4 linked regions of the Tamandua tetradactyla genome follow. The protein of the gene in region 1 purifies or fractionates together with the protein of each later gene. This does not show direct contact. Links are inferred from orthologs where the notes say so. Each region holds a gene or a part of one and is shown on either strand. Other genes may lie near its edges.

Region 1 (7,976 bases):
AAAGTCAATTGTGATGATAAAAAAGTATTTAAGCCTGCTACCCTCCTATATTCTGGAGCAGCTAGAAGGAAAAATATGAGAGGATTGTATGGTAGCCCATGACAAACTCTGGGATCTATTCTGTAACCACTTTTTTGAAGAGAGCTTTGAAAACTATTGCTTTTTTATTTCTTTGCTTTGTATATGTTATACTATACAATAAAAAAGTTAAAAAAAAGAATCAAGGCTACAGGAACACAGTTCAACAGTTTCAGGTACTTCCCTCCAGCCACTCCAATACACCATAAACTAAAAAGGTGTACTGAATGAATAAGAATAAGAATATTCTTATTCTTATATGAATAAGAATAACCTTCTTATTGAATGAATAAGAATAACCTTCAGGATAACCTCTTGACTCTGAAATCTCTCAGCCACTAACACTTTAGTTTGTCTCATTTCTCTCTTCCCTCTTTTGATCAAGAAGCCTTTCTCAATCCCTTGATGTCGGGTTCTGGCTCATTCTGGGAGTTCTGTTTCATGTTGCCAGGAAGATTTACACCCCTGGAAGTCATGTCCCACACAGTGGGGAGGGCAGTGAATTCACCTGCTGAGCTGGCTTAAGAGAGAGAGGCATCATCTGAGCAACAAAAGAGGATCTCTGGGGGGTGACTCTTACGCCTAATTTTAATTAAGCTTAGCCTATCCTTTGCAGGAATAAGTTTCACAGGGGCGAACCTCAAGATCGAGGGCTCAGCCTACTGATTTGGTTGTCCCCACTGCTTGCTAGAATATTAGAAATTCTCCAAATGGGGAAGTTGAATATTTACTCCTTTCTCCCCAGACCACCAATGGTACTTTGCAAATACTTTTTTATCAGAGAACTTTTTTTTGACAAAGTGAGGAGCTGAACTCTAATTACATTTGCCTAAAGACTATATAGTTATTAAAATGATAATTGCTCATTATTTAGTTTTATACAGACAAAGGCTAATGATAAGTTCAAATTTTAGTTTTAGAAAGGCAATTAAGATACAGATCGATAAATGCCACATTAATTTTACTCCAGGTTAATTCTCTTAAATAATCTGTTACAGATCAGTTTCCAGATCCTTTTATTTATGTTACAGTATTACCTTTCTTTATTCCAATGCCAAAACAATTCTCATTTTATCTTACAGGTTTATGTAGCCACAATCTACCTTGTCTTCTCAACGTTTTCTCATTTCTTCTACTGTAACTCACAAGCCATCACTTCAATTCTTAATTTCCTTCCCTAGTTTATTTAATCACTCCCATCACCTCCTCTATTGTACTGTTTTAGTTTACAGAATTCTCCTTTCACTTCATTCTTAGAACTTATTTTTACATTACGGCATCTTCCATCCTCCTCCCTGTTCTGAGCAATTTTTGTACATTATTACTTTTTTAGACCATAAGGCTTCTCTTCACTAGTCCTTATTTCCCGAATATCTACCAACCCATCTCTGCAGTCCCAAACATATTCCTGACTACCACATACCTAAGTAATCTTCCTACTCCTATTCTCTTTAGTCAATAGTCCCCAGAATCCTGCCTGATACTACAAACACCCCTCAATCCCAACTGCCTATTCAATTCCCTCTGCTTTCCAGCAATTTCTTTTCCCATCTTCAACTTATATTCTCTCTCCTATGCCTAAGTATCCCCAAATCTGGCACAAGCCATTCAACAACCTAAAATTCCAAAGCCTGTTCTTTCAACACAACTCCTCCCTTTCCAATATATTTTTCCCCATAAAAACTTTAAGCGGCTACTCCCAATGCTTCACTAATTCACTGAGTCTTATCAGATCAGTACATGGATTCTCTCAGACCTATCTGCCCAGTATATATCATACCCAAATATTCCTCCTCAGGCTTCCCAGATTTTGCCTCTGCACCACTTTCATTTACCAAACACTATTCCAAATTATTTCTCAATCCCTCAAGCCCATGGTCACTTTCTCAGCAATTCAGCCCTTTCCCTTTTCTTCCCTTATTCCCACCAGCTTCTCAGCACATTCTTATTACACTTAACAGTCTTCCTGGCTGTTCTCCATCTTTCCTTAGGCCTATTCCCCAAGGTTTCTCAATTCTTCCTTAGGAGACATAATCTCCTAGTCACCCCTCATTCTCTGAATCTGCCTCTTATACCTCTGGGAACTCTAGAACCTTCTGTTCTCTGACTCTCCTCTTTGCGTCTCCAAATCTACTCAAGCGTTCCCTACTCCCCTCTGCTTTTGTAAGATTCTGTTCTCACAGGTCTTACTCCTCTGAAACCTTTCCTTTGTGGTTCCCCTAATTCCCTTCAACTTTTTTCTCAGTCATTCCCATTTCCCTCAACATGCCCTAGCAGATCTCCCCCTACCTCTATCATTGCTCTATTCCTTTTTCTCAAACTTCCTTCATCCCTTCTTCTAGAGGTTCCTCCTACCTCCTTTAAATTATCATCTTGGCTTCCCCAATCTTTGCTTCATTCCCCATTTCCCTTCAACACTACTAAGAGCCCAAATTTCCTTCAAGCCTTTTTCTGATGGTGTCCTCCAATTTCCATCGACTTGGCACCTCCCCTAACCCCAAATCTGCTTTCTACTCCATACATATCTCTCCCAGGCAGCCACCAACCTTCTTTCCTATCATTTACCTCCCCTCCGTGCAGTTCTAAACGCTCAGAAACACCATTCTCCAATGGCCGCAGCCCAGACTCGAGGGAGAAGAGGCACGGGTCACGTACCCCATTCGCATTTTGGCTCCGCTCTGACTGCCCCCGCTGCCCGGTAAGGGAGGGCGAGAAGGCAGGCGGCCGAGGTGCATACTCTTCTCTAGGGCCGACATGAAGGGAAGGCCGCACGTAGTCAAACAGCAGCCAAGCTTTCGTCCCACGCTACGTGCTGCCCAACCGATCACAGTTCGCTGCCCTAGCGACGCCCTGTCGCCTTTGGACAGCCCCCAGCTACCGGCAGTACCGCCCACCGCCCACCGGCTTCGAAAACCCCACCCCCTTTCTTCAGCGCCTCCGCCGGAAGTGCGCAACAGCCCTCCCACAAAGGAAGCTGGGTAACAGAGTGTGCGCATCTCTCGGACCCGAAGTGGAGAACTCTACAACCCTCGCTGGAAAGAGGAGCGCTCCTAAGGGCAATGCATTCTGGGCAATGGAGTCCTCAAAGGGGCTCTACCTTTGCGCTTGCGCAGCTGGAGATGACAGCCTCATACCCCAAAGAGGTATAGTAGCAAAGTATCCTGGGTGTTGTAGTCTATTGTCTAGAAGGCGACTTGGCGCCTTCTCTTCTAACCGGTTCCTACTGACTGTTAGAGGAAGAGTCACTTGTTCCTGCTTCCCAGGCTTCCCAGCGGCACCAGTTGCCAGGGGACGCGGGCGCTCTGGAAGGGATGGTGGGGCCAAGGGTACGGCTTTGGTGCCGGGGCTGTAGTTAAGTTGGTGAAGCTCGCGGTCGCCATGAAACAACGAAAAACTCCGGGGCTCGGGGGCGGCCGTGGCCGCAAGAAAAGAGGTAACCAGAGAAAGCTTAACAGGGTGGGCGTTGGGGGAGCAAGGTGGAAGACACAGCTATCTCGCCCCTTCCCCCCCTATAGATTAAGGGACGGAGAAGGGCGAATAACCAGGGAACCAGAAGGTTAAAGGAGAGGGCACTTGACTCTTCAAAGAATGGAAAGGAAATAGGGGCTGGAGGACGGGAGTGGCAAAACGGGGAACCAGATGGGGCGGAGTGAGGGCTACAAGGTTTCCTCTCCCCTCTAGGGAATAGGAACAAAAATTACAGGACTGTTGTTGAAGATAAAGTTGAAAGTGAGGGGAGAGGTATAATTTTGGATTGCCGCATGGGACTGGAAGACACCTAAACTGTGTCCGTGATCCTAATGGGCAATGACCACATTTTATACATTATTGGATTCCCAAGGACTAGCACAAAGCAAGTCCCTTAACTCAGTGTTCTTGGATTCTTCTACAGGTTTGAGTGACATTTCTCCATCTACAAGCCTACCACCTCTGGTTGAAGGTCAGCTACGCTGCTTTCTGAAACTTACTGTTAATAAAGTCATATGGAAGATTGCAAAGCCTCCCACTTGTGTACTTGTCCGAGTGAGATGGTGGGGAGAAACATCAGATGGAACCCTCTTTTGTCCACGGGATACTTTGCAGACTGAACCAAAAGCTGTGAGAACAACTACACGTTATGCTATTCGCTGTGGTCCAAAGCAGTTTAACTCTTATCTAACAGGTATATTTTTTTCTTATCATTTCACTAGTAGTCTAACAAGAAGCATTCCTTTATGTTCTTAGCGATAAGTGTTATTGTGTACCTAATATGTGCTGGACACATTGAGGAGTCAAAGAGGTTTGATAGTAACCACTTTTGATTGTGTATGATATCGTGGCAGTTTATACATATAATTTTTAATCCTTACAAAAATCCTGCAAGATAGGTAATTTCTGTTTTATAGACAAACTGAATCAGAGGGTGAAATAAATACTCTGTAAGGTCACATAGTTGATAAATAACAGAGCTGGGATTTGAACCCACTTCTGTGACACCAAAACTCATGCTCTTTTCTGTACACCATACTTCTTCAGGTAATAGCTGTAGTCTCTATCTGGGCTTACATTATGTCTGTGGAAAGAAGATATAGATATAAAATTTACTAATACTACAAGGTAATACATGTCAAATGAATGGTTTGGCAAGTTAGTAATACAGATTTTCAGAGGAGGGAAGGATCCCTCTGTATGGATCCAGGAAGACAAGATTTCTTCATTTTGGTACAAGAAAGCATTCTAGATATACAGTGTAAATCCTTTATTTGGGTTAAGTAAACACATTTTGGATAGTGGGGTTATTTATCAAATCAATACCATTCAAGTCAATAAAAATTGAATATTTATCATATAAATGCTCTTAGGCTAGGAAAACTGGATTGTCAGAGGCAAATTAGAAATTAACAATGCCTTAAATAGCTATATCTATCAAGAAATTTTTTTAAAAAAATATTAAAGTAAAAAATAAAGAACAGGGTGGACCACGGTGGCTCAGCAGGCAGAGTTCTCACCTGCCATGCCGGAGACCTGGGTTTGATTCCCAGTGCCTGCTCGTGCAAAAAAAAAAAAAAAAAAAAAAAAATATATATATATATATATATATATAAAGAACAAGTAAATGCCATAATTCAGTTATTTAACGAATATCTTGAACACTTTCTCTGTGCTAGACATTGTGCTAGATGCATACAAAAATGAATCAGGAAAGTATCCAGTTTTAACTAAATTCACAGAAATGTTTAGTTATAAGAGTAGATGGAAAGTGACCACTGCTACTAAGGAAGTATAAATAACATACTGGGAAAATTTCACTCACATAAAGGAGTGTAAAATGTATAGGAGTGAACTATTCCTTCCTAAAATGAAGATGTAATGAAGATTCATGGGGAAGATGCTATTTAATCTGGGTCTTAGCAGAAACTTGAAGACATGGAAATATGAGGGTTGTTTTGGATGCAATGAGAAGTTTAATGACTAAAGTGTAAGGACTGTGGAGGAAGATGAGACAAGATGAAATTGGAAAGTTGGCTTGGGACCATATGTGAAAGGACTTCAGTAGCCAAGCTAAGGATTTTGGACTTTATATCCAGTGAAGAATCACTAAATATTTTTTATTTTAAAAGTAACCTGCATTTTAGGATGGTTAGTGTGACTTTCAGCAGGTGAATTGGAGGGGAGAGACTAAAGGCAAAAAGATCACTTAGAGGGCAGGCCACAGTGGCAGACAAGAATGCTCGCCTGCCATGCCAGAGGGCCCGGGTTCGATTCCCGGTGCCTGCCCATGTAAAAAAAAAAAGAAAAAAAGGATCACTTAGACTGTTGCACTGAACCAAGTGAAATGTAATAACTCTTTAGTTCAGATACCTGAACTAAACAACAAACAATAGAAGGCAATCTTGAGATATGATGAAGGAAAAATAGCAATGGAATAAAGTAAACTCTCTCCCCCTATTCTCCTTTGGTTTGCTATTAGGTGTTCTTATTTTTGCAGCATGTTTTTAGTTTTTTATTTTGGACTGATAGCTACAGTAAGTATTTAACTTCATTTTTATGCCAGCCATTTGGTTTCATTAGCTCTTCTGAAGAAGTTTCATAGACTTTCTCTGTTGCTTGCTTAGCCGTATTCTTTTGCTCACATTTAGCTAACAAGAATGATTAAGGGAATGTTAAATTTACATTGTTTTGCCGTAAACCTAAACCTTAAGTCCTCAGGTGGTATTTTTATATAATTTAACAAAGAAGTATGATTAGAAATTCTTCAGTAAGAGTGAAGATATTATTAAAATGAAAGACAAGAGGTCAGATATTTATTTGTGCATCATGTGGTATAATGAAGAATGGGACCTGGCATCTGAACAACACCTGTAGGGCTTTGGGCAAGTTCCTTTGCATTTCTGAAAAATCTGTAAAATGGGATCAAATAGCTGCCCTTTCACCATCTAACGTTTTTCATGAAGAAGCAACCTGGTTGAATGGGAAGAACATGGGCTTTGAAGTCAAACAGTCCAGAATTTGGACTTTGTTTCTAGGACTGGAAAGCCAAGTGATGTTAGAGATTCCGTAAGACCTTGTAGCCTCAGTTTCACATTTGTTAATTGAGGGTAATAACACTTACCTTGTAAGGATTGTTGTGGAGATTAAATGAAAAAATGTCTGTAAAATGATTCACCTGTATATGGCACATTGTAGGTGCATGTCTTCTAAAAATGTAAAGTCTTGGTAGGAAAATATTTAGAAGCTATACTGCCCTGAAACGATCTTAGATTACATATATACATACATCATATTTCTCTTGCTGTGAATTATGGCCATGAAGGTATTAGATCTAAGGGACTAATTGAAGGATACAGTTAAGTTCCATTCTTCTTAATTCCAAGGGCTCTGATAACCAGGGGAATCTGATCTCAGAGATCAGATATAACCGAGAAGTAAGTAGTTAGACCCCCTGGGAGGCAGGGAGCAGCCCTTACAGCTGTGCAAGAGCAGCCCTTTGTCTAATTCAAAACCAGAAATGATGAGAATGAAAGAACTGAGATTTGGTGCTTTTATATTTCAAAACTGAACCTATGTTCTTGAAAAATAAATTTTAAAATACTCTTTCAACGTAATTTTCCTTATGCTAAATATTTTCATTCAGTGTAACATTTTTTCTCAGTATGAGGTATCTGTAAAACTTTATTGTTCTTTTCATTTTGGGTTCAAGATCAAAATTCCCCCAACCCAGAATGGTATGGTAAGTGACTGTTTTATTTGAAAATAAAAGAATGTTTTTAAAATAAGAAAAATTTTCCAATGTATGCCAATAAAAGTAAATGAAATATAATGTATATATGGAATCAATAAGTTGTACTTGTTTTTGATTAGATATGGCTGTGCTGGTGCTGGAAGTAATCACCAAACTTGATCATCTTCCAGTTGGTAGAGTTCAGATCGGTGGATTAGCCCAGCTTTCTCCAACCCATCAAATCAGTGGATTTTTTACCATTATTTCATCAATATCTAAGAAACTTGGAGAACTTCAGGTAAACATATTCTAATTCTTTGCTGCTTAGAATAAAATTGGAGGGCAGAAATAGTTGAGTCAGTCTGTAGAATGGTTGTGTACATGACTCCCAGATACAATGCTAATTCCTACTTTAATGCCTTTGTTCATGTTTTCCTCAGAGTCTATAACCTTCCTTTCTCCCCACTTAATCCAGATCCTCTTAGCACTTTACTATCCATTTCAAATTTCAGGAGCCCTCAATTCCTATTGCACTGTCTATTAAATTCACAAAACCATTAGATTATGTAAAAAATTACATAATCACTACTCTAATTAAAAACCTGCATGTTCTCCAACATTGTGTATTTAATTAATTTATAGATTCCTTGAGAGGCTAACATAGTGCCAAACTATAAATGCTTGTTTGGATCAAATA
Region 2 (7,692 bases), on another chromosome or scaffold:
GACAGTAAACCATACTGGCAAATAAACTTAAAGCAGTACAGGCCATGTTGGTGAAAGGTCACACTGTGGTCTTACTACATGTTTGAACTTAATTCAAAATTCAGTGGATAACTGAAGATTTCTGAGAAGACCAAATTGGGACAGTACTTAACCCCAGAAGGAAAACATAGGACAAGAATCAGCAAATCATGGAAGAAATTACTGTAATCCAGATGAGATACTGAGAACCTGAGCTAGAATGAAAGTAGGTACAGAAAGAGAATGAAAGCACTGATGGTGTAAAAAAACATAGACTTGGCAGTGGACAGTACATGGATAGAGAGAGACAACTTGGAGCCTTTACCAGGAAAGAAACGGATATAAATCATTAACAGAATATGCAAAAGCTATGCTTAAGGATGAGCTAGACATCAGCTCTTTAAAAATTATAATCTAAACCAATGGGGAAATACGTAGTAATAATCCTACTTATTTCGAAACAGCAAGTATTCCTTTAGTAAAATAAACAACAGACTATGGAATACAAATCATAGTATGCAAAATTACTGCAAATAAAGCAGCATAATTTGAAAACTGGATGCTCTCTATCTTTAATCCACTTGTACAGACATACGTACTAGGACAAATCACTGTTTTGATTAAAACAGACATAACAAGCCTCAGCTTTTTTAGGATGCCAAGAGCGCACTGAATATTAAAATAATACTTAACAAACTCAAAAGAAATTCATTATTTAAAGAATCAGTAGCAAAATACAGCAAGTATAAGAGAACTACGACTGACCCACCATATATATCACAAACCATCATTTGATTCAATTTGGTAAATTTAGAACATCAGTTCCTTCTGATTGAAAATAAAATCCATGTGGTCTTTCTGCCTAATGTTTAAGTAAATTATAACCCCCAAAGGGGAGGGTTTTTGTTCAAGATGCCTTATACTCCCAGGGCTCAGCACTTAGGAGGCCCCCACTAGAACCTGATAATGGAATTGAATGAAGGAATGTCTTTAAGTATACAGCACTTTCTTAACTTGGTGGCTATTACACAATAGCACAGAACTAACGATCCAATATTTGAGCGCCTACTATTCAACAGGTAATGGAGTTACAAAATGAGTAACACATGACTCCTCCCATGAACTTAGGATTTATTTTTCTGAACAAGTCAAACACCACAGACTTAGCCAGAAACACAGTACATATTTGTGGGCCTACTGGTGAGCTTCTCAACTTCTGTAAGCTGCTGGTTTCTCATTTGAAAAACAGGTGAGGATACAACAGGAAAGAAATATGAGGGTGTTCTGTCAAGTCTTACTGGTATAACATATGCCAGTTGACATCCCACAGGTTTCACAAAACTCTGATCAGAAACTTCATTAAAAATTATAGTAACACAAGCAAATACAAAGCTGGCTCAACATAAAGTCATCTACCTACCACCAAACCCAACATGCTAGATTGTGGGTCAGAAATATGATCTTAATTGAGGACAATACAACCAAGACAATGAAGAGGTATAAATTTTCACTAGACAAATTTTTTTAAAGTTAAGTACGTTTCTATTTAACCGAATTTTGTTGGAAAATTCCTACTGTAAGATACTATTTCCAAATACTATTAAGATTCAAACTTTATATAATGGTTCTTGATGATAAAGTAATGCAACTACTTAATGGGAAATAATGTTTCCACTGCCGCTGCCTAAGGCCATCTCCTGATTGAGAGCAAAAACATTAAAATTTTTGAAATACATTAATATACAATTCTGGGGGGTGGGAAAGGGATATGAGACTTAAGTTCTTCAACTGATCAAGCCCAATTTCTAACTGCACAAAAACATAAGTTCCCCAAAAGACCAGATATATATTCATAATGCTATTTTCTTATCCACCTAAATTAATCTCTACAAGACAATAAAATGCATACTGTGAGCCAGAATTTCTTCATAGACTATCCCAACCAACACCACACTGCCAAGTTCAAAAAAACCTAAAAATCTTTCCACAAAAATAAAAGCTGCTGTCAATAATGTTCTGAGCTAACCGGTGAAAGCACCTATTTCAACTTAATTATCTAAAAACAAGGTACAAACATTAAAACCATTTATTTGTATGTAGAATGTATATAGCAAGGAAACCTTTATCCTAGGAACCTTAGATTTTTCTTGTGATGGTTTTACATACATCATCATCTACTGCTCCTTTCATTTATTTATTTATTTTTTGCTCCTTTCATTTAATTCAGGAAAATAATAACAAAACAAGGCATAAAAAAACAAAAAAGGTGTTAAAGAGTCAAGACTATTTTCTCGAAAGGTAACTTTTAAAATTGTTCTCCCATTTCTCAGACAATAAACACGAAATGTTCTTAAACTATTACAGACTCAGCTTCAAGGAAATCCTTCAGTAAACAAGATTTGAAAAAATTCTATACTCAAGTTTTGCATTACTAAACACTTTCTTACCTTCTGCTACATCATCTTCTACTGCTCCTTTCACCTGAGAAAAACACCACTGAATATCATTCCCTCCTCCAGCTCCTGGAAAACAACAACAACAAAAACATACCAATTAAAACAGAATTCTGTTCATGTTTACTCTCATAAACACAGAGATGGTATCCATGATTGGCATGATTCTAATAGCCTAGTACTGCCCACACACATAACCACCACTCCACAGTACTAATTTGGAAAAAGATCAGTCCCCAATAGTTGGTTATAACATTGCTTTCAAAAAAAGGAGGAGGAAAAAAGAGCTTTCGGGTAAGAAATATTTAAAGGCATGTACAAACATTAACATTGTACATGTGTTCCAAACTTCCTTCCATTTTTCCCTTCCCCTAAAATGCAGTAAAAGCTTTACATTTAAGCATGACCTACCAGAAAAAAGTAAATACCAAAAGCTTAATAGTTTTTCTTTAAGAGTACCAAAAGCCTGCAGGAAAGTAAATAAGTTTAAACTACCATGAAACATAGAACGAAGAGAAAACTTCAGGAACATTACCGCCTGGGTGAGAAGTAAATGATTCATATGAACCCTATCACCAAAGCGCACACACAGCAAACACAACACTCACCACCCATTTCTCTGCATTTCATTACCAGCAAATCACTGGCTCCAGACAGAGAGAGGAAAAGAAACCGAAATGAATGCTGTTTTACTTGTCAAAGGAAGTTTGTTTTTCCTCCCCCCTTTAGTTTATCCTTCAAAATCTAAAGGATCTTATGAAGGATTTTATTTTTCTATTTTGTCATCATCTTGTGCAAAACAATTTTAATTTCATTTTACTATTCAACGAAGCCAAAGGGCAACTTGTCTATGGCAAATGCAAGCTGATCCAATATTTTTAAAACTTTTTGAAAGGTTTAACTATCTCACATTGAAAAAAAAGTGTGGAAAAACTGGTTGAGTTCCTGAATAGTTCTATTTCACTTCCAAGCACCGAGAAGAAAATCATGAAAATGTCTTGCATGCATAGAGTAAGAAAATCTAGATCTAGAACTGATTCTATTAGATGAAGTTATTTGGCAGCACAAAAATTTTAAAAAGTACAAAAATAATCCTCCAAGCAATTACCTCTCTCTTCCTTCACTCCCATTCCTCACTAAATATTCCAACCTGGTTTTCCCCATACATTCTTTTTTTCCCCAAGCTTTAACCCAAATATCTTTCCCTTTTGCTATTTATATCACTGAACTCCATCACTATTTTAACTAACTCTATGAAACCCTTTTGGGGAAAGGACATCTGCACAAAAGCTAACAAGCAAAACGGAAAGTTTAAATTACATTTTTCATGCAACCTGCCATATTAAAGGCCTTAAAGGGTTAAGATTCAAAAGGGAGATGGTTCAAGGTAAAAAATTGAGCATTGGTCTCAAAAATTTACGTACCCACAGGAGAAAAACGCACGTATGTTCCCATTGTATTTTGACTTCTAAACCACTCTACCTCTCCTGTGCAAAATATAATTGTATATACACCCAACCAAGAAGGTTTGCAGGGGGAGAAATAGAATTAAATGAAGGAAGAGCCATACAAAAAAAGCCCTGGGGGATGGGGGTGGTGGTGGTGGTGGAGGATACACCGGACACCAAAGCAGTACGGACAAATCTGCACTCGCCCCCACCCCGCCCCACCCCACCCACGCCTTACCCCATTGCTGGCCGAGCGCACCCACCCCCCATGCAAGGGTTCCAGCCCTTATTTTAAAAGCCAGTGTGGTAGCACAGCCACGACTCGCCTCACCAGAACCCTCCCCACCCCCACCCCACCCCAACTTGACCAATTCCCAGAAAACCGAAGAGCACTCCGTGGCTCTATGAAACCCAGGCAGTCGCTAGGGGGTGATGGAGGGAGGAAGGAGGAGGAAGCGGTTGCTTGTCAGTGGGCGAGGGTGATTTCTCCTTTACCTGCCATGTTGCGCTGCAAATGGTGACCCTGCTGGGTTCCTCGGGGTCTCTGCTTCCTGAACTCACCCCCCTCACCTGGGGATGGGGGGGTAGAGAGGGCGGATGGCAGCGGATAGCACCTGTGGGGGAAGGGGCGGGGGTTGGGGGAGAAGGAAGAAGGGGCGGGCAGACCAGCCAGCAGGATGGTGGATTTCACTCTGAAGCTTCCCGGCTCTTGCTCTTTCTCCAGCGGCGGCGGCGGCGGCGGAAGCAGCGGCAGGGGCAGGCGACTCCACTTTCAAAATGGCGCCGGCTGGCCTGGCAAGTGACGTCACTCGGCGGGTGGAGCCCGGGGCTCAGCCCAAGGGGCGGAGCGGGGCGGGGTGAGCACTGGAGAGGAGCGGGGGAGGGGCAGGGGAGCGGCCGGGCTGGCTCCCGGCCACGCCCTCTTGGTCTCCCGGCTCTCTCCCCTGTCCCGCCCCTCAAGCGCCTGGGTCCTTCCCCGCCCGCAGCGTCCCCGCCTGCCCGGCGCCCTGGCACACGCGCTGCTGGTATGGTGGTTCCCTTGCGGCGCTCCCTCCGCCGGCTCTTACCAGTCTCCCGCTCCGGCTGGTTTTGCGTAGACTACTCAAACCGCAGCCCATTGCACACCACCGTTTCCGAAGCCCACGCGACTTTCAGGAATGGATCAGTGAAAGGAGCCTGGGTGCGGGGACTCTGGGGCCGGCTCAGCTGTCCGCTTCACGTGCTCACTCGCAGGGTTTGGAGGGGTTCTTGAGTGTATTATATCTTTTTTGAAAATACTCGTGTTGCTACTTAAGAGAGTAAGACTGTGGCTTAATCCTGAAGTCAGTGAAATAAAGGGACGATGACATAAAGCAGACGCGCTGCACAACCAAGGTGAAAATTCGCGAGTCTGAGAAAGAGGCAACTGGACCGGCTCCATCTGGGTGAATTAAATTACCTTCGCATGGGCCCCAGGAACTAAGGCACGAGTCCTTTTCGGAAGCTGAAAGCTAGAAGAGTAGTTTCTGAGTTTGCTAGTAGCAGAATATGGCCAGAAAAGTGACCCAGGTCTGTACAGCAAAAGTAATAGAATCAATAGTTAAGATAACTGGGCCCTGTAGAGTGGCTGCCTGGGTACAAATACTGACTAGGTGGTATCGGGATAACAATTCTATCATATAATAATGTTTTGGAGACTAAATGGTTTAACTGAGTAAACGGTAAACAATAATGATAGCTGCCATTATTATTAGATTTGTCTTGAAAGCGTCTTCAATATTGTTAAGAGGTAGAAAGGGGAAAAGAACACGCTGGAAAAGTAGCAGGTCATCAGCCAAGAAGGGATGTGCAGTTTGGTCAAAGACACCCTAATGATGCAGTAACCAGCCAGGTACTTTACATATCTCACTTGATCTCTGCAATAATCCTGTAAGAGACAGATCCGCATTTTACATATGAAAAACACCTACAAAAACATTAAAACTCTGACCTTAAGGCTGAATGGAGTGATAAGGCATTCCTAGACAAAGAAAGAGAGGAAGATTAATATATTTACACCTCCTCCCCAGCTTTTCCACCTCCTACCTTATTCTTGGTTTCCTAAAAGGTTCAATTGTAAAACAAGTTTCCAAAAGTCCTTCAGATGGAACATATTATGCCCCCTCCAATTCTACATTATTTCTCACTTTATCAACAAACAAACCCAAAATTGAAATCCACTCTATATCTGTTTACTTCTATAGCGATTGATTTCATAATGTATTTCTCTGGATATGCCAGTACCCTTAGTTTTCCTTTTTGTTTTCTCTGCCTTTGTTTGGTAGTTCAAGCCCAGACTCCTCTAGATCGCCATCTTAACCAGAACTCTCAGGGAGAGAAAGTGTAAGGGAATTGACCACTAAACAGGACTGAGATTCTTGTAATAAAGTCACTTTTCTTCTTTATGCTCCAGTTTTTGCCATGGGTAAGACCCTGAAAATGATTTGGTCAATGTAAATAATTTCTTAGAAACCAATAAATCTTGCCTGGGAAGAGGGCTAATTATAACAAAAATTCATATAGTAACTAACTATATGCTGGCCACTGTTCTAAGAATATTACATAGAATTTCAAGGTTACTATATGAATATGGGATGAATTGAGATGGATCTAATTATCAAGGGTCAGTACACTCTGGCACTCTGATATAAGTGACCTGGCACTTTTTGACACTGAGTAATCCCTATGGAGGACCACAAGCTGCTTCCTTTTCTTCTTAGGAAAAGAGGCCAGAATACCCACTAGCCCAAGGTTAAGGTTTGCTCTTGGCAGTTTCCCCTTACTTATCTACATTCTCTCTTCCATCCTTTGCACTCGGGCTTACATCCCCATCACTTCACTGTCAAGGTCATGATCTCCACGTTACCAAAGCCAATAGTTTTCTGTTTTTTTACCTTTTTCTGTTTTATCTTTTTCTACTTTCCAACAGCATTTGAAATGGTGGATCACTCCTTTCTTACTTGTGACTGTTTTTTTTTCTCTTGATATATTATTGGTTTCCCCCCAGTCTTTCTAGCCACCCCGCTCAGTTTCCTTTGCTGGCCCCTCTTCCCAGCCCATCCTCTAAATATTAGGGTGATTTGTCACCCTGGCCTCTGTCTGGGGTTCCCTTCTCTAAGCACACACTCTCTGGGGGCAATTTTATTTACACCAACTTCATGTACACCAGTAACTGCTAAATCTAGATCTCCTGCCCCATCCTCATCCCAGAACTCTAGACATACCTCTAACTGCCTTCTTGACATTTCCACAGATGTCCAAAAGCATTTCAAATATCTCCTCTCTACCTTGGCTAATGTTGTCCCTTTCCCTGGAACACCACCATCCACTCACCCCAACACTCTGACACACCCATCCCTTTTTCATTTCTCAACTAATAAAACTCATAATTCTTTAAAATCCAATTCAGATATAACTTCCTCCAGGAAGGCTTCTCTTTTATTTTCCCCCATTGCCTACCCACCAAGAGCTGGGTTGGGTGCCCTTCCTAAATATTTTCATAAAATCTAATGCCTGCTCTCTTACAAGATCATATTTTAATTACCTAATTGTGTCTGTGTGCTACTAGACTGAGTTCTTTGAGGGCAAGAAGTATGCTTTAAACATCTCCACATCACCAGCCACATAATTTGATAGATGAACGGATGAATGAATTAATCTCTCAGGCTTGGGAATAAAACCACCGAAATGTTGGATCACTAAAGTTTGCCATGTCATAAATGTTTCACTTAACCCTTCTTTACTCTGGAAGGAAG
Region 3 (7,697 bases), on another chromosome or scaffold:
GGTCCCTGCTTTCTGCAAAACTGTACCTGAGTGCCAGTGGGGTCCCAGCATGATCTGGTAACAAGGCCCAGGTTGCCTGTCACTTGCAGCACACCACCTGCCCTGGCATAGCTCCCACCTGCTTACCTTTATTTCCACTACTAACACTACCTTCTTTAAGTGCCCACCAATGTGTCAGGTCCTGTTGTTGGATATGTAGATCTCATTTGAGCCTTAAAATGAGCTCAAAGATTCAGAGAAGTGAAGTCATCAGGGTCACGTTGTTTATAGGTGGCAATGCTGGGATTCCAATCAAAGACTGCCAGATTCAAAAGCTTTTGCTAAATTCTTCTAAAAGGAGCTATTTCAGCTCAGGCACTGCAGGCCTCTCTGGATCCCAGGGTTTGAGTCTATGAATCCTCTGAGCAAGTGGAAGCCCTAGTGGGTCCCCACGAGGCCATGAACTAGATCCCAGAACTGGTCCTTCTTCAGACTGGGCCTGGGACAATGGTGGCCAACTCAGACGTCAGTATAGTTAGTACCTCCTAGTCCACTTCAGTTTCAAATGGTAGGACCCTTGCACCCACCAGACCTCCCTAGTTCTCTGCTGCCTCACACCCCACATCAAAGTCTAAATGTCTCTGCCAAGCTGTTGATGACTGAAAAGAACAGTCAGAGACCTAGATTCAAAACCAACATCCCTTCCAGTCAGCTTTGTAACCTTGGGCAAGACCTTGGACAATTTCCTCTTCCGTGAAGTGGAATAAATACTCATCCCTGCCCTGCCTTATCCATAAGGCTGCTGCAAGGAACAAAGAGAATGAAGGCATAATTTCTCATTTACTCTGAAAACTCTAGCATACTACCCAAGCATTAGCCCTTATCACCAGCACACTGATTCAGGCCCTGTGAAAACAAGACTGATCGGAAACGGAAAAGGGCCAGGCAGCAACTGGTTTAAGTTCCTAAAATGCCAGTAAGAACCGAGGAAGCTAAGACAACTAAAAACACTTTGAAGCTGGCCAAGTCAGGGCAATTTCCTTGAACTGACAAAGCACAGAGGAGTCAGAGACAGGCACTTATAAAGGGGCCTCGCCTGTTTACCAAACTCATGCAAACTTTGCCTGGCTGTAGAGGGTCTATGTGGGGCAAAAGGCCTATGTGAGGCAAAAAATCCAGCTCCGCCACTTCCTCAGTCAAATTACCTGGCCTCTAGGAATCTGGCTTCCTCTTCTGTAAAATGGAGCAAATAATTCCAACCTTACAAGCTGGCTGGGGGAAGATTGTTTTTTTTTTTTTCCTTCTTGCCAGTTCATGGCCAAACAGTGGGCTTGTAAATTTTCCAGCCTTGGGGAAGCCACAGTCAAACAGTTTCTTGGATAAGGCAGGTGATTAGTCTCCTCACTGTTGCGCACACATTTCAGGCCTCCATTCCTACTCTCATTGTGCTTGGAATGTCCTTCCTCCCTGGTCCTGCCCCATTGCTTACCCAAATTATCTTCATGCTTCAAGGCCTACCTTCACTTAGAAACCTTCCCTGATGACTTCAGCCAATGCCAGCACTGCCCTCGTCTAATATAGCAACAACAATAACACTTAATGATTGCCAAATATTTGCACTGGACCAAAGCACTATGCTAACTTCATACCACGCACCAACTCACTGAATCTTCACAACCAACTTATTAAGTACTATTATCCTCACTTCTCAGTTGGTGAAATGGAGTCTCAGAGAGCTCAAGACCACAAACACAGCTAGTAAGCAGCAGAGCTCAGATTCAAACCCAGAGCCATCATACTCCAAGGCCTCTGCTCTTAACCACCACACCATTCTACTTCCCATAAAACTCTGCGATGGGCCTCCCTCCATCCAGGGCTTAATTCTACTCTAGCTTATTTGCTGCAATTCTGAGGTCCTACCAATGAAAATGAGAGTTGGATGAAGTCCACCCCTTCTAGCATTATGGCCAGAAAAGGGACAGGACACAGAAAACTGATCTCGGATTCTAACCCCTACTTGCTGGTGAATTAACATGAGATTTCTCACTTGTAAACTGAAGACACCCACCTTTTATGGCTTGTTGGTGGAATTAAAAGAACTTTGTAAACCACAGAGTTTCTTGCTTTCCTGCCTTGACTCTTTGTTCTTGCTGACACTCCCTTTTATCTCATTTTTAAAGGCCTGCCCAAAGTACAGCTCCGCCAAGGAGTCTTCCCTGTTCCTCCCCAAAAGATGGGATTGTTGCTTTAAGCTTCCTGAATACTTTCCATAACTTCTCTTACTACTTTATAAAAATACATCATCTGATACTTTAAGTGTCTTTATTAAGGTGTGCCTCCCCCAGCAGGCTAGTGGCTCCTCGAGGAAAGGGGCGTTATACTGCTCCTCTCAGGGAACACTTCCTAGGTGGGCCAGGCCCAGAGTTCTCCGCTGGGCTTGCCCGGGGTCAGAACGTCCGAGTAGCGGCAAGACCTCCCCTCCCCGGGGCTAGCAGGCTTACCTAGCCTTGGCGCAGAGGGCCTTGACTTCGCTCTCCTTGATGAGCTCGCAGCGTCGCAGCTGCTCTATCTGCCGGTCCAGGTCGCTGATCTCCGCCATGGCCCACCCCCAGCGCGGGTCAGAGCCGGGGCCACTGCCCCCTCTGCACCGCACAGGGGTCCCCTGGGAAAGGTGAAGACGACCCCACAGATCTGAATGTCCGTACGGGGCGCCAGGGGCCAACGCGATTCTGAGGCTGGCCCGCCCCTTCCCCCCCCCTACCCGCCTCCCCTCACATCGGCTCCCAGAGACTCCCGACGTCCCGCGGCTCTGGCCGCACCGCCGCTAACTCCCGTCGAACCCCACAGGTCCCGCGCTAGGGACGTGGCCTGGAGGGGTCTCGGGCTATTACCGCCGCTGCGACTCCGGCTCCGGCTCTCAGGCTCTCTACCTTCCTCCTTCCCCCCGCTTTGGGCCGCCACTACCGCTGCTCCTACTTCCGGCCCCGCCGCGGAAGCAAAGGGAAGCTAGTTCCGGCGCGCGTCGGAAGTGGCGTCATATACACTCCTCCCTTCCGCGCCGCGCCCTTAACCACACCTCTCAAGCCTAAGAATGAAGTGAGCGGAGGGAGCTGGTTGTAGGTAACATGCGGACGGAAGTTGTGGACGGAAGTTGTGGACTAAACGGGCCGGTACTGGAGGGTGTTACAGACCTCAGGCCAGTTCCCTGCCGTTTCAGTTAGGGAAACTGAAGCTGAGCTGTGCTTAAACCTCTTAACTTCATGTTAAGTACTTTTGCCCATCTGTTGTAGTTTGCCTCGCCTACTACAATCCTTGAGGTATGGAATTTTGTCTTGTTTACCATTGTAGCCCTATGGGCCTGGCACATAGTAGGCATACATAAATATTTGTTCATGGCCGAAGGAATCTCAGTCCAATCCCCAGTCTCTTTTCATGGCCCGGGGGAAATCTTTGCCATCGGGACATCTACAGTTAGAGGCAGAAGAAAAGATCCACATTTCCCTCATCAAGCTAAAGACCTACCTCATTACAAAATAGGTCCCTTTACCTCACCTCAGTTACTTCCTATCTAAGGCAAGTTTTGTTCCTTTGTTAGGAGGAGGAAGCTGGCTCAAAGAACTAATTTGTTCATGGTTACATAGCTGAGAATTTGAGATTTGAATCAGGGTTGAAATTTGAACCCCAGAAAACTGTTCTCAAATCTAGTTTTTCCATTTTCTCAGAATTTACCATTTCTGTAGTTCAGTGAATCGTTATAAAATTCAGAAGTCCAGAATTTTCCAAACTCCCCTGACATTTGTAGTCCTCTGCTTCCCTTGTCTCTTTTGCTGGAGGCAGAGGAAGATACTCTAATCTAAGCCCACTCTCCACCTTTCCAGTCTCTCAGCCTTTACACATGCTGTTTTTTGAAGTGTCGTTTTTGCTTTCTTTCTACTTACCCTCAACTTTTATTTGCTTCAAGTTTTGTTTCCCAGAATTGAGGCTAGGCACAGAAATGAGGCCAAAGTTTGGAGGGCCACTAGGAGTGGATTTGATACATGAATGCAGGCAGTAGGTGCAAATGTGCACAGAAGGGAAGGACGAGGGTTCCTAGAAGGTACTAGGTAAGTCAGTTCTATGAGGATCATTGTGGGGATTTTTTAGGTCCAGAAAGGACAGAAAGGTCATGACCTTTTTCATGGATGGGAAGTTCAGACAGGAAAGAGTCCCTATCCAGAAAGGCTGGCAGTGAAAGAAGTTGCAGAAAATTTGGGAGGTGGCAGCAGGGCTATGTCTGTGGTTAGGATCTTTGGCAGTTCAGAAGAATCCAGTGTAGTTACTGTAGCATCCCAGCCTGGATGATTGAGGAAGAGTTCAGCGCATTGCATAGGGACAGCTTCAGGACCTTCCCTCTGGCCTCATGGACTGTGGCAGCTGCTGAGGTGCAGTTAACCTGGAACCTGGAGTACGTGTGCTGTCTGCATTGTTTAATTGAATGTTGGAGAGAATTCCAAATGCCTTCAGGGATTCCATGGCCCAAAGAGGACTAAGAATTTTAATTCCATCTCGCCCATAAAATGGGGCAATGGACCAGCCCCCTTATGGGGATATGCAGTAATAATCCTGTTTTCCCCGAAGAAACTTGTGTGATCTTAGGCAAGATGGCCGGGAATAGCAGTACCTACTCATCTACAGCACCTGCTACACTGTCTGGCTTTAAGCAGTTACTATTTTTCCACAGGGGCCTTGTGCACCCTGAGTTCTGGGCTGATACTGTGGCCTCTGGTGACTTGAGCAGTACATTTGCGCCCTTATCTGTGAGCCTTATCAGATGCTGCTGATAGAAATGGGTGGAGCATATAGTGGTTGGAGAATTTCACAAACTCTCTGTCTTCCTGAAAGCTCTGGGCAAGTATAAAACAAGGAAGGACACAAAAACAAGAGCTTTCTTCTTCAGGGCTCTGCCACCTTTGCAGGTTCCCCACTGCGCCAAACACCACGAGCACAGACAACAGAGTCCCCCTTAAATAGTTGTTTATTGGCAGTGGGCTGTAAAGGATGGAGTTAGCATATACAGACAACACCACACACCAAAGTCACAAGGGAGGCAAAAAAGTGATGGGAAAGAGCAGCCGGGAGCCCCAGATGAAGCCCCTCCTTGACAGTGAGTGTAGGAGGAAGCAGGGGCTTGGAGTGTTGAGGGGGCAACCTTAGAACACCTCTGCTTAGTAGGCATGGTTAGAGATGAAGAGGGACTCGCTGGCTGCGGTGCCGGTCTGGCCACTTGGGGTGTACTTTCCTTGGCAGGCAAGGCTGTTGGCCTAAAGGGGGAGAGAAACCAGAGTGAGAAGGCCTCAGGGAACCCAGCTTCTCAGAATCCCACCTACCCAGGTACCCTGTCTGCATCCTGCCCCATCCTTACCAGGGCTCGCTTGACATACTCTTCCTGGGCAGCCTTCAGGTTCTCCTTCTTCCCACCCCAGGCCTTCAGGGCAGAAGCCTGCAGGGCTCGGCCATAGGAGAAGGTCAGGGCCCATGGCTTCTGCAGGGGGCACTTGTTGATGGCGTTAAGGTTGATGGATGCCTCCTCTTCACTCTGGCCTCCAGATAGGAAGGTGACTCCTGCAGAACAAGGGTGAGACAGATAGGATCCCCAAGAAGCTGCCCTGAAGAACAGACCAGATGGGTATAAAGTCTGTGGGTATAAAGTACCCCCTTCCCAAGATGAAGTTGCACGCCTCACCAGGGACAGCAGGAGGCACTGTGCGGCGCAGTGCTGTGACAGTTGCTATGGCAATCTCCTCGTGAGAAAACTTCTGGGTGCAGGCATGGCCTGGGGTTACCATGTTGGGCTTCAGCAAAGTGCCTTCCAGGTAGACGTGGTGGTCACTCAGAGCCTTGTAAACAGCAGCCAGCACCTGGAGTAGGGCAGGGCCCAAGTTGGGTGGGGAGACGGGTCAGGTCAGGGCCCTGGCCCAGCTGCCCCACCCACCACAGCAAGCAGGAACCTACCTTCTCGGTTACATATTGACAGCGCCTCAAGTCATGGTCCCCGTCGGGGAGAATCTCTGGCTCCACGATGGGCACGATGCCATTCTGTTGGGTGGGAAGTGGGGTGAGGCCTCCTAAACCCAGGGTTCTGCCTCCAACCCCCCTGAAGTCACTGGCTGAGAGGAACTCCTGGCTTCAAGACCAACCTCATAAGCCTACTCTAGTCCTCTGCCTTGCAGAGCTTTCTGAGCATCTTCTGCTGGGCAAAGACAGAGACTGATTTGTTCCTAGAAAGTTCCAGGAACAGCTGCCTTGGGGGAGGAGGTAGGTATCCTGGCAGATGCGTAGCAGGCTAGCTGACAGCTTGGGGCCCAAGGAGGTGGGAGGTGGCTTACTGGGGACCCACAAGCCAACCTGCTGGCAGATGCTGGCATAACGGGCCAGCACATTGGCATTCTCCATAATGGCGAGGGAGGTGGGAGTATGCTCCCCGATCTTCAGCACACAGCGCCACTTGGCAAAGTCAGCTCCATCTTTCTTGTACTGGGCACAGCGCTCAGACAGCCCATCCAGCCCTGAAGGAGACAGAGGAATCAGAGCACAATGAGGGAGGAGCCACTTGGCCACTTACCCGCGGCCACCATGAAGGGTGACTATGGGTTAATAGAGTGAGGAGCCAAAGAGTTCTCACCTTGGGTGGTGGTCTCGCCATTTGTTCCTGCCAGGGGTACCACGCCCTTGTCTACCTGTTGGGGGAGGAGGGACAGCAAGATAAACAGGAAATGGTCTAGCACCCTTTTCTCCTCTGTAGCCCCAATCTGAACCCAACTTAATCTCTTAAACAGCACCTCATGGCTCACAAATATTTTTGCTTAGGTACAGTATCTAATCCTATGAGGCAAGATACATGGAGATGTTACCTGGCACAGACTGTTAACTGATTTGAGTTTCAGGAGGCCTGGGCCCTACCAGTTACTAACTCTGTAAGCAAAACACTTCACTTCCCTGACCCTCTGGTTTCTCATTTGTAAAACAGAGTAATCTCTCCCTCTGAGAATTGTGAGGGCTAAAAATGCCAGGCAGGTAACTGAAGTCCCTGGCTTTTCCTCTCCATCCTTTGAAGGTGATCTAGGACCCCACCTCAGTCCACAGAGTCCCAATCCGATGTCCGCCCCCACTTTGTTACCTTGCCCCCTCACCTTGATGCCTACAACACCACCCTTGGATTTAATGACTTGGGGGAAGGGACGTCCATCATCCGCCTTCTGGTAGAGCGTCTCATGGAAGAGGATGACACCACCAATGCAAGGGTTCACACGGTCATCGGCGGTCAGTAGCAGTTGACGGTAGAAGCGCCGGTTCTCCTCGGTGTTCTCGGTGCCAATGGATTGCAGCCGCTTGGCAATGCTTCCTGGAGGGGAGTGTCACCCGGGAAAATAAGAGGATAAGCCCGCCATTCCCAACTCTGGGCCCTCCTCCCTGGCTCTGCCTCCTGCCCATACCGGTAGACTCATCTGCAGCCAGGATGCCCTTGCCCGGAGCCACAATGCGTTTAGCGATGTCAGAGAGCTCCTTCTTTTGCTCCGGGGTCAGCGCTGGGTATGGGTAGGGCATGGTGGTGGTGGTGGTAAGTTCCTGGGCAGAGAAGAGAGATGGGGAGGACTAGTTAGTTGGATGTCCTCATGGTCTCCCAGTGAGCAGCGTCCCTTGCGTAGAGGTCAGGGCTAATGGGTTCCCTACCTCCCCTG
Region 4 (7,693 bases), on another chromosome or scaffold:
CCAGGCAGTCCGATGACTGATGACCAGAGGCCTGTCACCACTGTCAGTCAACATTCTTGCTGCCAGCAGGACAATTACTAACCTTCTTTAAGCCCTGATCTCCTCCTAATTACAGAGAGAGAGAGATGGGAAAACAATGATCTCACACACAGCATTACTGACTCTTAGCACTAAGGCTGACCTGACCCACAGAAAAACCCAATTCTTAAAAAAAACAAGCCAAAAAATACATTTTACACAGTCCAATACTTTCATCAGGAGTTATGATTAAAGAACCTAGAAATTACTAGTTTTAAAAACAAAAAGGAAACCAAAACCAAAAGCCTCTTTCCTTTTTATTCATTCCACAACCTTCAAAGTCAAAAGTGCTTACTTTTAACCCCTATTCCCCATCCTCTCTAAGAGCTGTTGTTATCAAAAGAAGAAACGGACCCAAGCCTCAATGTCCCTTGGACTTTCTTCTTCATACCTATCCATCACAGGGAGACGCAGAAAGACAGTCTAAAGTGTAAGATTAAGGTCGAACTCTGGGGAGTAGTTTGAACCAGAACAAAACCTCAAGAGCAAAATACCTCACAAACCACAAATAAATTTTACTACACCTTCAATTGTTCAGTGAAAGTTGCAGCCTCTCCTGAATCACTCATTTCCTATTAATTTCCTCTAATGAAAATTTCTTTCACTTCAAGGTTGAGTTTGAGACACAAATTCTGCAAATCACATTACCCAACTTTCTAATGATTGCTTTTTCCTTCATCACTAACTTCTATGGTAATAATGCAATTCAAACTAGTAATATCAAAACCATTTGACAAAATGGTAGTGATAAATGTGTTAACCGCAATCAGTTACTCAAGTTAAACATATGGATTAAAACAGAAAGCTTCAAACACATACATTAATTTAAAAAGTGGGTCATCACCACAAGCAATTTAGAAAAAGTCAACAACCTGAATTATAAAACTTTTAGAGAATTAAAAATAAGGGTTTGAAATTGCAAAAACTTCCGATCAGTTTAATTTAGAGAACAAAACATTTTTGTAATGATTTTTAAAGAGAATAATGCCATTTTTGAGATGTCACATTCAAAAATGTCACATTCAAAAAAAAATACACACGCACACTCTACAAGGACATGGGCTTTATGGGGAACGCGAGGGCGGCACGAGAGACTCCCAGGTTCCACACCCCCACATAAGACTCTGAGCCTTGGCCCGCGGAACGCTAAAGTCACATTTAATTTTAATTCATTCAGCTTGGTGAAAAAGCTTCTAAATGAGAAAGAAATGGGAACTTAGAGCAGGCATGAAGACTCCTCACACACACACATACTCCTTCCTCCTGAGATAAGTCACTACTTCATTCCAGTGAGGCTCAGCTCTCACTCACCTGGCACATGCAAAATGAAACAAAAAGAACAACTATGTCCAATTAATATAAAAGAAACAGAATCTTCAATAAATTAGTTATGTTATATAAAATCACCTAGCTTCAGCTTCAAGTCCTATACATCTTTACAAATTTCTTTGAGGAGAGTTTCCTGCTTACTAATACAGGCACTGACGTCTCCCGGGGCCAAGGATCTCCAGATGTCCTCAGGGTCATGCGTCAAACTAAACCCTGCCGGGGAGAGATACAGGGTGCAGGGGGAAAGGTTACTCAAATGGCCAAGGTGGAGGAAAGCTGACAAGACATCTGACCAGTTTCTTAGGGGAGGGAAGATGTACCTGGGGCAAAGCACTAGCCAAGGTAAATCACTTTTAAGAGAAGAGTGAAAGTGCACAATGTTCAGCAAGATGACCGAACACGACACAAAGTGCCCTGGCTTTAAACCTGAAACAGAGTCTCTAAGAATCACTTCTACATCCAACTGTGTTTAAGCACACATGTTGCGTGCATACACACGCACTCTACAAGGACACGGGCTTTATGGGGAACGCGAGGGCGGCACGAGAGACTCCCAGGTCCCACACCCCACCTAAGACTCTGAGCCTTGGCCCGCGGAACGCAAAGCTCAGGAAAGACATGCCCACGGAAGCCAATGCCCTGAGGTTCAAGACTGGCTCTGCGGTAAGGACACTCAAAATCCAAGAACGTGAGAAGCTCAGAAAGGACCTGAGAGCTCGGTAGCCAAGCTTCCTTTCTGAAGATGAAGAAAGCGAGGCAGAAACCCTGGCGAGGACAGCCCGGGGGTTCGCACAGGGCTTGGGCCTGGAACCGAGACCCCCGACCAGGCACCCACTCCCCCGGCACCGCCGCTCCGCATCTTTCCGCCGGAACAGAGACCCCAAACGGACTCCTCGACGCCCCAGTTCCTGCCTTTACGTCCTCGGCTCCACGAACGCAGAGGCCGGCACTGACACGGCAGACCACCGGGAACGGGTTGGGAGGACGCGGGTTCTCGCCCAGCTCCACCCTGCCCGGCTCGGCGACCTCGGTACCTACATAAGCCCTCAGGCCAGCCGCGTCCATGCCCTCCCGCCCGCGAGCACGACACGTCGGCGAGCCGCGCCGCGCCACGTTCCCCGGAGGCTTCCCGCCGCCGCCGCCAGCTCCGCGGCCCCGGCCGGGCCCACCCGACTCGGACGCGGGCCCACGCGCGGCCAGCCCAGCCCCCGGCCGGCCCGAGCGCGCAGCGACGTCCCGGGACGCCCGGGCCCACAGGGTCGCCGAGCAGACGCGCCGCGGTGCCGCCCGGAGCCAGGGCGCGCTCGGGACAGCGCCTGCCGGGCCACGAGGCGCGGCGGCCGGCCGAGGGCAGGAGGGCCCGGGGCGCGCCCCACGCGCGGGCGCCTTACCTTCGGCCACGTCCTCGTCGATGGCTCCCTTGACCTGCGAGAAGCACCACTGGAAGTCGTTGCCGCCCGCGGGGCAGCAGCCGCCGCCGGCTCCTGCAAACACACAACCCGGCGCGTCAGGCGGGCCGCGGCCCCCGCCCCGGACTCGCCCCCGGCCGCGGCGCGGGCCTCTCACCTGCCATAGCCGGCGGGCGGCGGGCGCGCTGAGGCGGCGGCGGGGGCGGCGCGTCGGCCGCGCCGACTGCGGCTGACGGGAGGAGGCGGCCGCCGCGCTGCTGCCGCCCTGGAATCTCAGCCCCGGCCGCCCAGCCGCCGCCGCCGCCGCCGCCTCCGCCGCCGCCGGGAAGTGATTTTTTTTTTTCCCTTTTCAAAATGGCGCCCAATGCCCGTCGCCCCGCTCGATGACGTCATCCCTCCTCCGAGCGCGCCGCGGGCGGGGGGCGGAGCTGTCCGGGGAGGGCGCCCCCGGCGCGGGGGCGGGGCCGGCACGGCCGCGGGGGCTGTCGGGGGCGCTTCGCGCTCCGACGGCGCCTGCGCACAATCCACCGCGGGCCGCAAGCCGTGCCCCGCCCCCTAGCCTAGGGCCACGGCTCCGCCCAGGGCCGGAAAAAGGGACTCCTCAGTGCCGTGGGCCGGGTTCTTGCCCGTCGGGTTTCTTGGCGTCTGGGGTGACCTAGTGCTTGGGACTCAGTGACAGGTGCTCCCTGGAAGACCATCAGTAGGGCCGCCGCCGGCCTCCTGGCTCTCTCAGAGGGATGTTAGAGAGCGCGAAGCTCTATCCCCAGGGACTTGGCGGGTGGGCCCGGGTGGTGGCCGCGACTCTAGCCCCCGGGCTTCTCCAGAGGGCGCGCCCGCCCGGCAGTGCTTCACGCACGGCCCCGCCCCTGCCGGGCCTCGGCCAATGGAGGCGTGGTCCTTCCGCGAGCCCCGCCCGAGATGCCTCGCCTCTACCCGGGCCCCGCCCCTTCTGGGTCTCGGCCAATGGAAACGCAGTACTTCCGCGAGCACCGCCCCACATGTCTCGCCTCTACCTGGGCTCCGCCCCTTCCGGGCCTCGGCCAATGGGAACGCGGTCCTTCCGCGAACCCCGCGGCGGCGTAGGTCAGGGCTGCCAAGTGCCGCGCAGGTCAGCGGCTCTCGGCCGGCTGACCCCCCTCTTGGACTCGCCCCACTGCGAGCTGACCCCCTTTAAGCTGACTCCCTCCCCGGGCCCTACCCCGCCGGCCGGCTCTGCGCGTCCTGCTGTCTGAGCACGCGGAGCAGGGACCGTCCCGGTCCTGGGAGCCTGGGAGCGCGGGCTCGCTGCTGTCCGACTCTGGGGGACTCCCAGGCGCGGGGAGCCCTCGCCTACCAGCAGCAGGAAAACTTTCGGCGTTGGGTGGCCACGGTGGCTTAAGTTGCAGAGTTCTCGCCTCCCATGCCGGAGACCCGGGTTCGGTCCTCGTGCCTGCCCATGTGAAAAAAAAATTTTTTTTCGGCGTTGGACCTCCGCTGGGCTCATCTTTTTTCCTAGCGGGCTTGCTTTCAGAGGCCCAGGGACAGGTCACCGCCACTTAGGAGATTTTCGGCAAGCGAAGCCGTAACTGCCCTCGGGGTCGCCATGGAGTCGCAGTGGCTGCCTCACCCTTCTGGAGGCCGAATGTGGGGATCCCCGCGGAGGTGTTCCGAGCAGTTCCGGCGGGTACGCGGGAGGTGGTGCGCTAGCCGGGGGTCAGTGAGGAACACAGCGGGTAATGGAGAAAGAAAAATGTAGAAGTCAGACCGTGTTACATAGCAAAGTACTGAAAAAAAAGGGTGTGCGTAGAAGAAAAAGGCAATTTTTATCAGGGTGTGTATTCCTTTTCAAGAACCACTACAGTGGTTCTCTTTGCCTTGCTGGGTGTCCAGGCCGAGGCTGCAGGTCACCTGCTCAGGCCCTGGGTGCCTTTCCATCCTGCTCCGGTGGTGGGGGCCTGCTCCCCTCCCCCATTCTCCAGAGTTCGTTACCTGCTGAGCTGTGTGGGACTCCGAGAGCATCGGGTCCGCAGAGTCATGGCCCCCAAACGCGGGTGCCCTGGTCCCCAGGAGTCTGTGGATTATCCACCTCATGTGGCAAGGGGGACTTTGCTGCTGTAACTCCACAGCCCTCAATATGGGGGGGGGTTTCCCTGGCTGACCCAGGTGGGCCCAGTGTGATCAAAAGAGCACTTAGGAGAAGAGCCCTTCCTCCAGCAGGGTTGGCGAGACAGCGATGGGAACTGCAGGGGAGTCCGAGCCCCCTTGCTGAGCCCGCTTCTGGGAAGGCCTGGGGTGGGGGAGGCAAGCCACCTCGGGGGGCCAAGGCAGCTGGCACGGAGACCTCAGGCCACGGCCAGCAGCGAGACCAGGTCCTGCCAACTGCTTGCAAGGGTTTGGAAGCAGGCTTCATCCCAGGGCTCCAGAAAGGACTCCAGCTCAGGGGACCTCTTGATTTCGTCCCATGAGCTGCTCAGTGGGGAACTGGCTGCCATGGGGTCCCCGGCCTCTGACCTACAGAACCATGAGGTGACAAACGGGTGCTCTTTCCAACCCGGAGGCCTGGGGTCCTTTGTCACGGCAGGAGTAGAAAGCGAATGCGAGTGCTTATGCAGAAACAGGTGTGCTTGGGTTGCTCATCTTGCTGGCCTTCGCCATCCTGGGGACTGGGCTTTTAGTTCAGTCACTGACTGAGTGTCACCTGCCTAGTATTTGCGTGGCAGGGCCATGGAGCCACGTCTGGGGGCCCGTGGGGGCAGGTATGGGGGAGAGCCCACCTGTGCTCCCCACTGCCTCTGCTCCCAGGGGTCCCACGAGCACCCACAGAGCACTTTGCCTGCTTTCACCCAGTGCTCAGGAGATCCCACAAGCAGATAAGGAAGCGATTTGCCCAAGGCTGCATGACTGCTCAGAACCACAGCCCAGGTCTGCCCTCAAGGCCAGGCCCCTCAACCTCGAGACCGGAGGTTGTAAAACGTGAAGTAAGGTAGGACCCAGCCTCTAGGGGAGAACCTGCACTTGTATATTTATGGAAAGGGCAGGTGGTCCAGGCAGGCTGCTCATCCTAATGCCTGGGGCCTGGGTGGGGAGAGCGCTCTCAGTGGACTTGGAGACGTCCTGCGGTTGCTTTGTACCCCCCATCCCAATTCGATTTTGTGGGGCCCATGGCGGCCCGCAGCCCTGCTCTGTCCTGCATGCCCCTCCCCTTTCCCTCTGCCCTCAGAGCAGCTTCAAGGACCTCGCAAGGACCAGCCTTCCTCCTGCCAGTTCCCCAGCCCGCCCTAACCGGGTTTTGGCGTTCTCTTCCTCTTGGGGAAAACCGGATACCTAATAGCATTGCCTTCCAGAAGTCCATTCAAAGGCAGCCAGGGTGGGAGGTATCTCCATGTGGAGCCGGGAACAGAGGGTTGCCAGGTGGGAGCGCTGTGCCCCCGTTGTCCCCCTGGATTTTCTCCTATCGGGCAGGGACTTCCTTTCCCCAAGGGCAGCCCTCAGGTCAGAACCAAAGAACGGACCACCGAAGCGTGCTGGTGGAAGCTGTGGTGTGCCCCAGAAGAGCCGCATTCTTTAATCTACATTGAATATTGCTGGGTCGGAGCTTTTTAATTATCCATAGAGATGTGACCCACCCAACTGTGGGTGGTAACTTTTGATGAGGTGGTTTCCATGGAGAAGTGTCTCTACCCATTCAAGGTGGGGTTGCTTCCTGGAGCCCTTTAAGAGGGAATCATTTTGGAAAAAGCTTTAGAGGCACCAGAACCAACAGAGCCCACAGAACAGGCAGAGCCCCGGGAAGCCACTGAAGGGAAAGCCAGCAGATCTCGCCATGGACCTTTCCAGCTGAGAGAGAAACCCTGAACATCATCAGCCTTCCTGACCCAGGTGTCTTCCCCTGATGCCTTAATTTGTACATCTGCATAGGCTGACTTTAATTTGGACATTTTTACAACCTTAGAACTGTAAACTTGCTATTTAATAAATTCCCTTTTTTAAAAGCCGGTTCATTTCTGGTCTATCACATTCTGGCAGCTTCTTTGAACTAGAACACCAAGTCCTCACTCTTGGGTTAAATGTGCAAATGATGAAGCACAGGTGTAGGAGGGAAATGGGGCAGCCACTAGCCAGGGCAGCCTCCCCAGGCTTCCCAGGCCTGGGAGGACAGCAGACGCTGGGTGCAGTCAGGGTCTTCCACCTCCCTGGCTGTCTGCAGCCCACCCACGGCCCCCACGGATGACTGCATCCTAGTTCCTGGGACTGGTGAATGTGGGAACAGGAGGGAGCTGCGGGTGAGGTTAAGTGAAGGGTCCGAGATGGAGGTGATACTGGACCTAGGGCAAGTCTGAGGGCATCACAGTGGTCCTTAGAAGCGGGGGCCGGGACCAGAGCTTGTAGTTTGTAGGCACACCTGTGCATGTGCACAGTTTGTAGGTCCACGTGTGTGTATGTATGTGTGTGTGCATAGCATTTGGTGTGCGTGTGTGTGCATGTGCATAGTTTGTAAGTACATGTGTGTACGTGTGCATAATTTGTAAGTGTACGTGTGTGTGTGCACGTACATAGTTTGTAGGTGCACGTGTGTGTATGCATGTTTGTGCATAGTTTATAAGAGCACTTGTATGTATGCGTGTGCATAGTTTGTAGGGGCACGTATGTGGATGTGTGCACGTGCATGGTTTGTAGTGCACGTGTGTGTGTGTATGTGTGTGTGGATAGCTTGCAGGTACACGTGTGTGGATGTGTGAGCATAGTTTGTAGGTGCACGTGTGTGGGGGTGTGTGCACAGGCACATTTTGTAGGTTCACGTGTGTGTATGTGTGTGTGCATAGTTTGTAGGTGCACGTGTGTGTATGTCTGTGTTTGCATAGTTTGTAAGTGCACGTATCTGCAGTAGATGTGTGTGC

Evidence for each region.
Region 2: the proteins of PPME1 (region 1) and PPP2R2A purify together in Homo sapiens (affinity purification with mass spectrometry; 3 studies listed by BioGRID and IntAct, with this or other methods). This does not show direct contact. The link is inferred for Tamandua tetradactyla from reciprocal best matches to the Homo sapiens genes PPME1 and PPP2R2A.
Region 3: the proteins of PPME1 (region 1) and PPP4C purify together in Homo sapiens (affinity purification with mass spectrometry; 3 studies listed by BioGRID and IntAct, with this or other methods). This does not show direct contact. The link is inferred for Tamandua tetradactyla from reciprocal best matches to the Homo sapiens genes PPME1 and PPP4C.
Region 4: the proteins of PPME1 (region 1) and PPP2R2D purify together in Homo sapiens (affinity purification with mass spectrometry; 4 studies listed by BioGRID and IntAct, counting the BioPlex papers as one, with this or other methods). This does not show direct contact. The link is inferred for Tamandua tetradactyla from reciprocal best matches to the Homo sapiens genes PPME1 and PPP2R2D.

What each region holds. Positions count from the first base shown.
Region 1 is NC_135334.1:71,570,736-71,578,711, forward strand, and holds the start of PPME1 (protein phosphatase methylesterase 1), read right to left. Parts: upstream 3,013-7,976; 5' UTR 2,835-3,012; coding exon 2,734-2,834; exon of another isoform or gene 2,644-2,733; intron 1-2,643. Other genes in the region: C2CD3 (C2 domain-containing protein 3), read left to right, coding at 3,152-3,221, 3,971-4,240, 7,420-7,577. UniProt on the Homo sapiens protein: Demethylates proteins that have been reversibly carboxymethylated. Demethylates PPP2CB (in vitro) and PPP2CA. Binding to PPP2CA displaces the manganese ion and inactivates the enzyme.
Region 2 is NC_135329.1:27,162,835-27,170,526, reverse strand, and holds the start of PPP2R2A (serine/threonine-protein phosphatase 2A 55 kDa regulatory subunit B alpha isoform), read right to left. Parts: upstream 3,008-7,692; 5' UTR 3,004-3,007; coding exon 2,967-3,003; intron 2,541-2,966; coding exon 2,466-2,540; intron 1-2,465. UniProt on the Homo sapiens protein: Substrate-recognition subunit of protein phosphatase 2A (PP2A) that plays a key role in cell cycle by controlling mitosis entry and exit. Involved in chromosome clustering during late mitosis by mediating dephosphorylation of MKI67.
Region 3 is NC_135349.1:24,611,599-24,619,295, reverse strand, and holds the start of PPP4C (serine/threonine-protein phosphatase 4 catalytic subunit), read right to left. Parts: upstream 3,006-7,697; 5' UTR 2,910-3,005; exon of another isoform or gene 2,871-2,909; intron 2,642-2,870; 5' UTR 2,579-2,641; coding exon 2,481-2,578; intron 2,403-2,480; exon of another isoform or gene 1-2,402. Other genes in the region: ALDOA (fructose-bisphosphate aldolase A), read right to left, coding at 5,184-5,279, 5,381-5,580, 5,702-5,876, 5,971-6,054, 6,364-6,524, 6,641-6,695, 7,149-7,360, 7,452-7,584. UniProt on the Homo sapiens protein: Protein phosphatase that is involved in many processes such as microtubule organization at centrosomes, maturation of spliceosomal snRNPs, apoptosis, DNA repair, tumor necrosis factor (TNF)-alpha signaling, activation of c-Jun N-terminal kinase MAPK8, regulation of histone acetylation, DNA damage checkpoint signaling, NF-kappa-B activation and cell migration.
Region 4 is NC_135339.1:94,499,204-94,506,896, reverse strand, and holds the start of PPP2R2D (serine/threonine-protein phosphatase 2A 55 kDa regulatory subunit B delta isoform), read right to left. Parts: upstream 3,008-7,693; 5' UTR 2,981-3,007; coding exon 2,974-2,980; intron 2,892-2,973; coding exon 2,799-2,891; intron 1-2,798. UniProt on the Homo sapiens protein: Substrate-recognition subunit of protein phosphatase 2A (PP2A) that plays a key role in cell cycle by controlling mitosis entry and exit. Involved in chromosome clustering during late mitosis by mediating dephosphorylation of MKI67.